2 linked regions of the Drosophila melanogaster genome follow. Changing the gene in region 1 together with any one later gene gives a genetic interaction. Each region holds a gene or a part of one and is shown on either strand. Other genes may lie near its edges.

Region 1 (5,199 bases):
CTTTAAGGTCCTTCTTGAGTTCCGCTTTGGGACTTATGTGATGTACAGCCTTTAGTGATAAAAACATTGTTAGGAAAAGTTCGTTTTTTTCGTTTATAGTTCTTTCTTACATCCGGCGTACTCCAACTCCAAGCCAGATCGGTCAGCGATGATTGTTTTATTTTAACTGGTTCCTCTCCGCTCAGCATTGGCACAAGAAACTCATCCTGCTGATCTTCTTCGGCAAGGGACATGGCCAACTCATCGTCTAATTCGTCCATTTGCTGCTGGACAGAAATTGAAGTGCTCTTTATGGGCAGCTCCAATTTTGTTGGAGCTCCCGGCGGTGGATCTATTGACTGGAACCATCGCAACTGGCCATCAACGTTGACAGCCTGCAAACATTGTAAATGTTGTTAATGATTGAAGAGCGAATTTAACAACTACATTTTGCAATGCTTACGATGACGTGCTTATCCCGGATGTCTCCATGGAGAATCTGCGGGTTGCTAATGGTGATGATGGGCGGCTGCTCCTCCTCCTGCAGTTCCTCGTAAACAAATTCCAAACTTTCCTCGTCGTATTTCATACTGCCTACCAGGGCTTCTTTTAAAGGAATATTTCCGTGCTCCAGCTGCTTATTCAGCACAGGACTCTGGTCCTCCAGCAACTGTTCTTTCTTTTGCCTTTGTTTCGGTTGCTGATCCCTCAGCATTTGCACCTTCTGCTTTTGGTCCTTCAACTTTAGATTCTTCAAATCCTGTTTCTCTGTGATCTGATATTTTAGCTTATGTTCCTTCAGCATTTGCTTCTCCAGCAGCATCTCCTGGCGCAGTTCCTCCGCAGTTTGAATGGCCTCCTCTATGCCCGAATGGCGTAGCTCGTGGTGCCGCTTGAGATTGGCCTTTCGGTCGGAGCTGTAGGTGCAAAGGGAGCACTTAAACGTCCTGTGGCTCTTCTCCGGATTGTTGTGCACCATCAAGTGGCGCTTGAGGTCGTATGGACGATTTGTCTCGTATCTGCATCCCATCACCAGGCACTGCAACTTGGCATTGCGATCCTTGTGCTGCGCTTCCGGAGGGCGCTTTTTGCACCCAGGATGTTTGATAGACACGTGCCGCTTCAGGTTCGACGCCTTGTCGGTGTTGTAAACGCAAACGGGGCATCCGTATAGCTTGGACTGCGTAATACCAATGTGGGACTCCTCATGACGCGCCAGATTGTAGGGTCTGTTCGTCCTGTAGGGGCACCTGTCCACGCTGCAACGGAATTTCCAGGCCGAGCACGATCCATATTCTTCCTCCACCGAATCCCGATCCGCACTAAGCATTGCAAAAGTCCACAATAAGACCACAATATTATTAATGCTACAGGTCTAGCCTGGTGTTTGGATATCTTGGGAACACACTCATTTCGGTGGATCACTAAACTATCTGTTTTGGGGTAAACAAACTGTCCGTATTTTAATTAATTTTAATTACATGTTTGTTTGTTTAGAGCACATATCGATTACTGTTCGTTGATATCGATTATTCAACAAAAGTCACGGGATACGAAATTCACAACTACCGCAAAAAAAGTACTGCAAAGATTATTACAGTGACAGTGTTCCTAATCGCTGTTATGTTGCGCGGACTTTTTAAAATTGCTGTAAAGTGAGGTTTTAACAAATTGGGAATAAGGAAAAAAAAAAATTTGAGAACATCAAGTAGAAAAGGGAATATAAAATCTAAAAGAAATTCTTACCTTCCACCAACGGTTTTTTTCGCCCATGCAGAAGCGACCTGCACCTCGAAGAGGTCATTATCCTTGCCGCCGTTTTACTACAGGACACATGCGCGCTGCATCGCCTGCAGCCGGCTTGCCGTTTTCATTGAGTTTTTGGGGCCACCATTGAATAGAAATACCCCCACAGACATTTAAACTCGGTTCAGAGTTCGTCTGGTCTGTAGGAATCGGTTTTGGGATCGGGAGTCCTTGCACTTTTTCAGCTGTTTCGACTTTTTCACTTGCTCAGTTGCAAGTCGACTGCTGGCCAAGGCGCACGAGAAACTCGGAAAACAGCGGGCAACCCAAAATACTTTTAATTATTAAAGCCAAAATTATTTGGCCAAAGGCAAAAGAAAAGCTCGAGCAAAGAAAGTAAATTTCAAATAAAAAATGGGCTAGCCACTAGTCATTTGTGTGTTTGTGTGTGTTTCTGTGTTATTGCCTAGGCCATTAAAATAATTGCACAAATATATCCGGTTATGCTGCCCCTGCAAAAGCAACAGGGAATACTAAATAAATAAACAACCCCCAAAAAAAAAACTCGCTTTAATTGGTTAGCCAACGCCCCCGCCCAATGCTTAATCCCCCTAACCGAAGTTTTTCCAAGCCCACAACTGTGTTTGCCGTTCTAAATTGGCATAAATTCATTTATGGGTCAAACACCCTCTTAAAAGTTACCAAACCGTAGAAAAAAAATATATGAAAAAGTACTTGAGTGTGTTGGTGTGGTGGTTTTGGCTATGAGTGTGTGTGTGTGTGTGTGTGTGCACTTCCGGTTGCAGAGCACGAAACGGAAATATGCAGTGAAAAGCCCCTCCCAACATGTTACAAATTTCAAATTGCGCAAGGTTATTCCAAGTGAAAGAGAAACCTCCAAATACAGATCCGCAATTATTCCAAAATATTCGAAAATTTCGAAAATGAACTAATCGGCTAGCCTAGCCTATCACCCACTCATTAGTCAGTAAAAACGTGCAATTAACGCCAAACAAACCAATCATGAAAATTAAATGAAAATATTGAAAACGAATTTCGCTGCAAATTGTTTATAATTCAAACGATATGTTTTTCATCTTTTTCGCGCCGTTCCTCCCGCAAACGTAAACAATTAAAGCAAAACGTGTCGGGGAAATCGTATTTAGATGCTCTTGCAATTATGATATATAATGACAAAAATGTGATTACTTAAAATCAATTACTTAAATATAGAAATATTTGAACAAACTTATAAAATTTCATTTTAATTATGACAAGTTTTATAATAAAAGCCACTACTATATGTATACACCAGATATTGCTAGAGTATAACACTTTTCGAAAATGAAATCCGATTTCGTGAGAGTTTCAAAGTACGTGGCATCAATATTTTTATTTTTTCGGATGATTTCAGCTATTGGCTTGGCCGGAATCAGTTTTCAATTTCGTTTTGATTTTCGACCTCTGACCTCGTTGCTGCACTGGAGGTTCTACGACAGCAAACTCGTTCAATTGCCGCCCTCAAGAGGAAATCTCAACTCAAGGTGAGTGAAGGTGTGCCCCGTACACAGGGAAATATTCTCAGATACATTACTACATTGAAAGGGTTATGGATAAAAAAAAATAAATGATGAACCAAGTGTGAAATGGCTTCCTTCTAAGTTCTGCTCCATTTTATTAACCATTGAACTTCGTTTTAAAATAATAACTGTCAGCTAGTGGATAACAAATAACCCATTAGTATTCCTTTTATTGAAAAGTTTGCATATTTGCTGCCTGAGTAAAAGGAAAACACTCGTGTTTTGTGTGATAAAATTGATTACTTTGTTGCTCTGCTCCGGCATTGTTTGCCCAGTGGCCTTTGACCCTTTGTCCAGGTTGGGTACTCATACTCAATCTCATCCTCATTCCCATTCTCGTCGGCATTTGCATCCCCATCATCGTCCTGTCGATGACTCTTCAGTGTCCACTTGTGCCAGTTTCTCGATTACCAGATGCAGGGGCTTCTATTCTAAGAGGTGGAGGAGAAGGTCGCAGGACGCACTGCGTCCAAAGATTTTTCATCTACATATTTTCATCTGGGTTCAGAGGAAGCTGGAGGTGTTGCTAGTCGACGCTTGTGTTTGATTAGCTTAATTTAAATGAGGCAAATAAAAGAGGAGCTGAAAGCAAAGACTCAATGCTGCACAAATAACAACAATTCCGATTGATTAGTTTGAAAGGTGCTATTAGAAGCATACGCTTTTATTCAATCAAGAAATCAATGGAATCACAATCACTTGGATTCTTCATTTGGCACGAGTGCATTCCCCATGGCTATTCAAAATAATTTAAATCTAAAGTAAAGTTCGTATTTTAATGTGCAAGAATGTATTAAATCAAAGCCATATGATTCAAATAAACGAAAGTTTACCATAAACATGGCAAACAAAATGATATTTTGAAAACATGAATGAGGCAGTAAAAATAGATAAGTAAATTTATTGATAGAATTAATTCTGAGAAATCACAGACGGCACATTAAATCGAAAGATATTTTCCAGTTGGGTTATAATTTATAAGATATCGTTATAAATTTATGGAAGGTAATATAACTCGAAGAATTCTTCGTCTAGGACAACCTTTATATTGTGTTTTAAAATCGAACTAACTTCCTTTCTCCAAAATCTTGCGCTAAGAAAGGGTTCTTATATATTTTTTATATGCCAGTCGCGTTTCGTGCATTACTGCAAAACTGGAACCGTAAGAACGAGTTAACCTACTTTCTGGTTTCAGGTGTGTGTTTCCACGGGCATTAGTGCTTGTGCTGGGTGCATACAGTTGCATTTCAGTTGTTTCATGCATGTAAACAAACAAACAGAGGCACAAACACCAATGCAACGGCGAACACATGCAAGAAATTTGATTCATTTGCATGTTGCACCCCCAACAAACACAGATACACACACACACACAAACGTACACGCCCCACTGCACACAAGCGTAACTATAACAATCCTCGCATAAATACTGTGGAGGTCAAAATAATAATAGTAAGTTAAGCAATTGCAAATTTTCCAGTATACTACATTAATTTCGTATTCATTTTCGGAGTTTTCTTTACTACAAAAAAGAAGTATCTACTAATTTTAAATGACTCGAATTGAAAGATAATGAATACTTTATAAATACAATTATATTAAATAGTTGTTTGTTTAATTGCAAATATATTTCGGTAAATTTACTTGATTTTTGGACTTAAATTGTTTGAATCTTTAAATATATACATTTTTTAAACTGCTTACTTTTTGGACACAATTGTAAAGGTGGCGTGGGGCGGAGGACAGTTAAACAGCTTTTAAGCGCAAACAAAATCCACAAACGGAAGGGGAAAAGGGGTATTGAAGTGGTGAGTGGGTGAGCGAAAGGGGGCAGAGGGAAAGGGGTGCCTTGGGGTCACCGCAGGCGAGTGCAGTGCCCTCAATTAGAAGGCGC
Region 2 (4,828 bases), on another chromosome or scaffold:
CTTACTGGGCGTATGCGCAATTTGATGCCCACATACACGGTAAATCTAACAGGAAAATATGTAAAGCGAAGCTGGGTGAATTTTTTTTTATTTATGCCTCGTAGCTGGAGATTTGTTACTGTCAGGACGTATGTATGATTAACTCTGCTGCAACGGAATCCTGCATAAACTCTACACTCGAAAGTATGCTTTTTGGGGCTCTATTTTTTCCGGAAGCACGGCAGCTGCTAAAGCTGCTGATTCTGCGCCATTGTGCGAAATGTTGGCTTCCAGTTGCCGTGGCCACAGCAACTGTAACTTTATTTCACCATTGTTGTTCAATTGGGTGAGGGGCTGGAACTTTCTGCTGGTTTCATGAATCAAACATGACCGAATCTTGTTACATATTTGCAGTTTTCTTCGTCGAGTTTCTTTTGTGTACACATGTGCGCGGTTTATTTTTTTGTTAGTTAGAAAAGTTGGTCGCCCCACACACCGAAAATGGAAAAAAGTAGAATTTTTCGCCACTGTTTGCGGCTGCTACGTATGCAAGGCCTAAGCTTTTGAGTGCCTGCCACTTTTCTCTAAGCCTTTAAAGCGCTGAATTTTCATCTGAGAGCTGTACTGCGGTTTGGCTGTGTGGTCTGTTGCTTTTAATTGACGGAGCCATAAATTAAATGAATTTTCCAAAATCTTGTTTCATCTGGATTTTCTGCATTTCGCTGAATATGCTGCATACTCAATTTTAAATTACCCGAGGTATTCCTCTTATCAGAATCAGAAAATCGAGCATTTTGAGTGCTTCGAGTCATGCTGATGTTGGGTACTTGATTAAGCTAGCTAGTTAATGGCTGCCATTTAGTTTGATTAGATATAAAGCCCCAAACTGAGTTCCATTGTAACTTGTGTCCAATTGACAAATACTTATGGGACGACCTTCCTTCATTCATTGGTCAGTGAAAAGGAGCCCCTTAACCGAGTGAATGAATAAATGGCTATTTATTTGTACAAAGGGAAACAAAGTGAACTCTAAACTGAAATGGTAAGCAAATGTCAGGCAAGTGAAGCGAATGAAAGCTTGAATGATATTGACAAAGGCAAATGCTACCACCCATCGTCCTATGAATGAAAAAAGAACTCAAGGGGCTGGCCGACTTGGGCAGGAGTCGCGGGTTTTTTGCTTTTCAATTGTTTACTAGTCTCCGTGTTGATTGTTTTCTTTGGTTCCTTTCTATGGATACCCTATCAGATGGCATGATACTTTAGGCACTGTCTACAGTATAAGCGAAAAATTTCATCTAAGCGGGACAGTAAAATATACTTCATATAAATAATCATTTGTGGTTTAATGCTCTGAAATCTGAAATCATAAGCCTAACGTTTTCTGGCGAAGTTCTTTACTTTTTCTTGGGAGTCTTAATATACTTTATATGTTCATATGGGAGACGTGCCTTTTGGAATGTTAACATTATATCCCTTACTGACATTCGTTTCTTACAGCGTGTAAGAATCAAAGCTAGGATGCCATACAGCTTTATTTATAGTTAGTTATATCCTCTACAGTAAATACATTTCCGGATCACAAGCCGAGTCGATCATGATCAAGAAAATATGTAACGCCCAGAATTTGAAAAATGATCCAAAAAAAGTCCATTGCAGTTATGGTATGTGATAGTCGAGAAAGCCCAAAAACCAGCTGTCCACAAGGGAACTTAAAACTCGAACTTATGCCGATGTCAACTGGATTCCCCATTTGCTTTTCTTTTCTTCTGCGGTGCTGCTCGTCTCTTGATACTCACAAAAGACTCAATTAGGCGTTAGACAAAGACGGTGGACATAGCCATATGCTGCTTGGCCCAGAAGTTGTCGCTAATTCGCAGACAAAGGGCGAACGAGGGGCCAGTGGGCTTAATCGATAGAAAAACGAAAATGGGAAAACAAACTGACAATTGTCACGGACTGCCCCCGTCCGTTGTCAAGGTAAGACCGCCCGCACTATTCATACTCACATACACGGGGCGTATGCGTAATGCCTTAGCCATACCGCACGGCACTTCACATGTGGCGTATGATTAAGTCGTGCTTGGGTAGAATGCGCCTAAAACGAATACATTACCGGCAATCGGAGATGGAGGCGCCAGTGTGGCGAGCTGCAGGATCCGCTGCCGATGCTGCTGACACAATTTTCGCCGCTGCAGAGCTGCAACTGCAGAATGGCCGCACACAGATGCACCAGATATAGATACAGATACACAGATACAGATGCACGAAGCTGACGCCGAATTTGCGAATTTCGAGCTTGACACGAACACCCGGAGGCTGTTGAACCGCACCGCTCTGAACTCTTTTGGCTAGTTTTGTAGGTTTATGCCGTTTTCGTGCACATCCTTTCCTTTTCTTGCAGCTTCCTTTACAGTTGCATTTTTTGCAGCGGCTGCTGCAGTCCGCGTTGCCAAAAGTGAAAAGAGGCGGCCGGCACGGCGGTCGGTGGTCAATGGTCAATGGTCAGAAAACAGGTTCAAAAGTCGGCGACCGCAGGCGCAGGTCCTGTGTGTGTGTGTTACGAACGGGTGTGTGTGTTTGTACCGCACAACTTTCCCAAAAGTATGCAAAGATATTTAGCCTAGTTTCGACTCTCCGACAGCATCGTTGTTGATTTTTTGCTGCACTTTCTTGGCATTTTCTTTCAATTCATTTTTGCTCTCAAATTAATTTTGAAAATTTATTTATGGAAGATCATTTCACTAGCTTTAAACACTGTTTTTGTTTTTATTGTTGACTGAAGCACAACAAACACATCAACAAATACCTACATATATTTCTGTATATATGTGTATCTGTGTATGTTTCGCTGTGTAGTAAAAATAGTAAAACGCTCGGCACTTAAAATAGGAGAAGCGCAGCGAAAAACCGTTTGCCGCTGTTCTCTTCTATTGTTGTTGTTATTGTTTTGGTTGCTTCTTTCGTTGTCGTTGTTGTTGTATTTACCGCTGCTGCGTGTGGAAATCACGGAGAAAACGTTACACGCTCAAACGCCGGATAATGAAAGACTAACCTGCGAGCCAGTAACCGACTGCCACATTGGCCGACTGCCTCTTTAAAAATGCCGATTGTCGCGACACGAAGGGCACCCGAAATGCACACGAAGAGTGAGAGTGGCGAGTGCGAGGGCGGTGAAAGCGGGACAGATAAGGAAGAAAGTGCACAGGATAAGGAACAGAGTGGCAGTGGAACACTGGCCAGGCGATAACAACTGCGCCGCTCTCTCTCGCTGTCGCTCTCCGATGTTCCCCATCTTCCTCTCGTTGCAGTGGCGCATTTCGCAGGGGGTGTAAAGGTTTGGCGGGGAGGGTGGTGTAGAGGCATTGCTGGTTAGTATAGCCCACACCCACACCCCCTCCTCTACCACCCGCTGTCTTAGACAAGCAAGCGCATAAGTTTTTGACGCCCCTGTTAAGTCGGTTGGAAACAAGTTGCTGTACTCTATGCTTGGAAAATAGTCTATTAACAATAAGCACCGTTAGGGAAAGTGATTACTAGCAGATCGGGGTGCAAAAAAATATAAATTTTCAACACCCAATAAAGGTTCACGTGGCCAAATCTTTTATTTCTGAAAATTGTATTGTTTTATAATTTCTTAAGCTTAAAATATGATATTATTCACGCGTTGAAGTACAGTATTGATCTCAACATATACATTTTATTTAAATATATATATTTATTTATATTCAAAACCAAATTTGAGAAGTACATCGCCAATTCCAACTCAAATTGGCTAGAAAGCTTTTGATCGCATTGAAGTCAGCTTTTAAAAATAACTTAATTGGTATGTGTTTTACCGGATAAATGGCTTTCCCCTGTATAATTTTGATTTAGTTGATTGCGCCTTTTTACTTGGCTCTCTATGCAGCATCACGCCTACGAACTTTTTCAAGTCACTTATGCATTTTATTTTAATACCTATACATATTTTAATACCGCGCCATAAAAACTTCACTTAAAAAGTTAAATAATAATATTTTGTAGTTTTTTTTTTCTAATTATAAATCAGTTTTCCTAATTTAAAGTAATCTTCTTCTCTTCTATTATTATAATTCATGTATTAAATCAAAGCTAAAGCAGCAAATTAAGGCAATCGAATTAAGCAATGAATTAACATTTTAGTACTCCCCATCTACGGTTGTGTAATATGCCTCTCTAAATAATCGTAGGGTATCACCGGGGCTTTAAAGGTGGAATTCCTTACGAATGTTCTTTTGACTATGGCGACTGCGTTAGAATTTGGGGACCTGGATGGCTCGGCGGTTCGGCTGCTGACGGGCCCAGAACTGCGAACCGAATGGCGAGCTGTGCGAGGCGTCGTAAAAATAAATAAGCAAAACGGAAATTAATAAGACCCAAATGTTGCCGCTGTCGCAACGACCTCCCCATGTTGCCCCTGAGAGACCTGCCGCGACAATAGCGTTAGCCTTATGGCCATATAAACGCAGCAATGGAAACAGCAGCAGCGAAAGCAGCAAAAGTAGCGAAAGAGAAGCAAACGCTGCACGCCATTGCTGTAAGTACAGTACAGTACAGGAACATGTGTGCCAGTGTGTGCGCTCACAACCTTTTGCTACCTTGTATTTGGCGTCCATTTTTTTTCGTCCGCTTTCTGTTTGTTTTCGTTACGGATCCCAACTCATTCGGCAGGGGTGAACACGGGGCGTATGAGCAATATATTTATGTTTATAGCCTCGTTTCCAGTTGGTGTGTAGGCATAAAACTGTCGCGATTTTTATTTCGGATGTGTATGATTATTTGGCACGACAACTCAATTCAATGAATGAATAATAGCAATCATGAAATC

What was found.
Region 2: of Trpgamma (region 1) and Calx, changing one suppresses a phenotype caused by changing the other (phenotypic suppression), as found in Drosophila melanogaster (one study listed by BioGRID).

Annotation. Positions count from the first base shown.
Region 1 is NT_033779.5:16,673,493-16,678,691, reverse strand, and holds the start of Trpgamma (transient receptor potential cation channel gamma), read left to right. Parts: upstream 1-1,990; 5' UTR 1,991-2,121; intron 2,122-3,139; 5' UTR 3,140-3,269; intron 3,270-5,199. Other genes in the region: her (hermaphrodite), read right to left, coding at 1-49, 111-374, 443-1,309. UniProt on the Drosophila melanogaster protein: A light-sensitive calcium channel that is required for inositide-mediated Ca(2+) entry in the retina during phospholipase C (PLC)-mediated phototransduction. Forms a regulated cation channel when heteromultimerized with trpl.
Region 2 is NT_033777.3:20,976,388-20,981,215, reverse strand, and holds the start of Calx (Na/Ca-exchange protein), read right to left. Parts: upstream 3,034-4,828; 5' UTR 2,096-3,033; intron 1-2,095. UniProt on the Drosophila melanogaster protein: Na(+)/Ca(2+) antiporter that couples the energy of a Na(+) electrochemical gradient to the movement of Ca(2+) against an electrochemical gradient across a membrane, which contributes to the regulation of cytoplasmic Ca(2+) levels.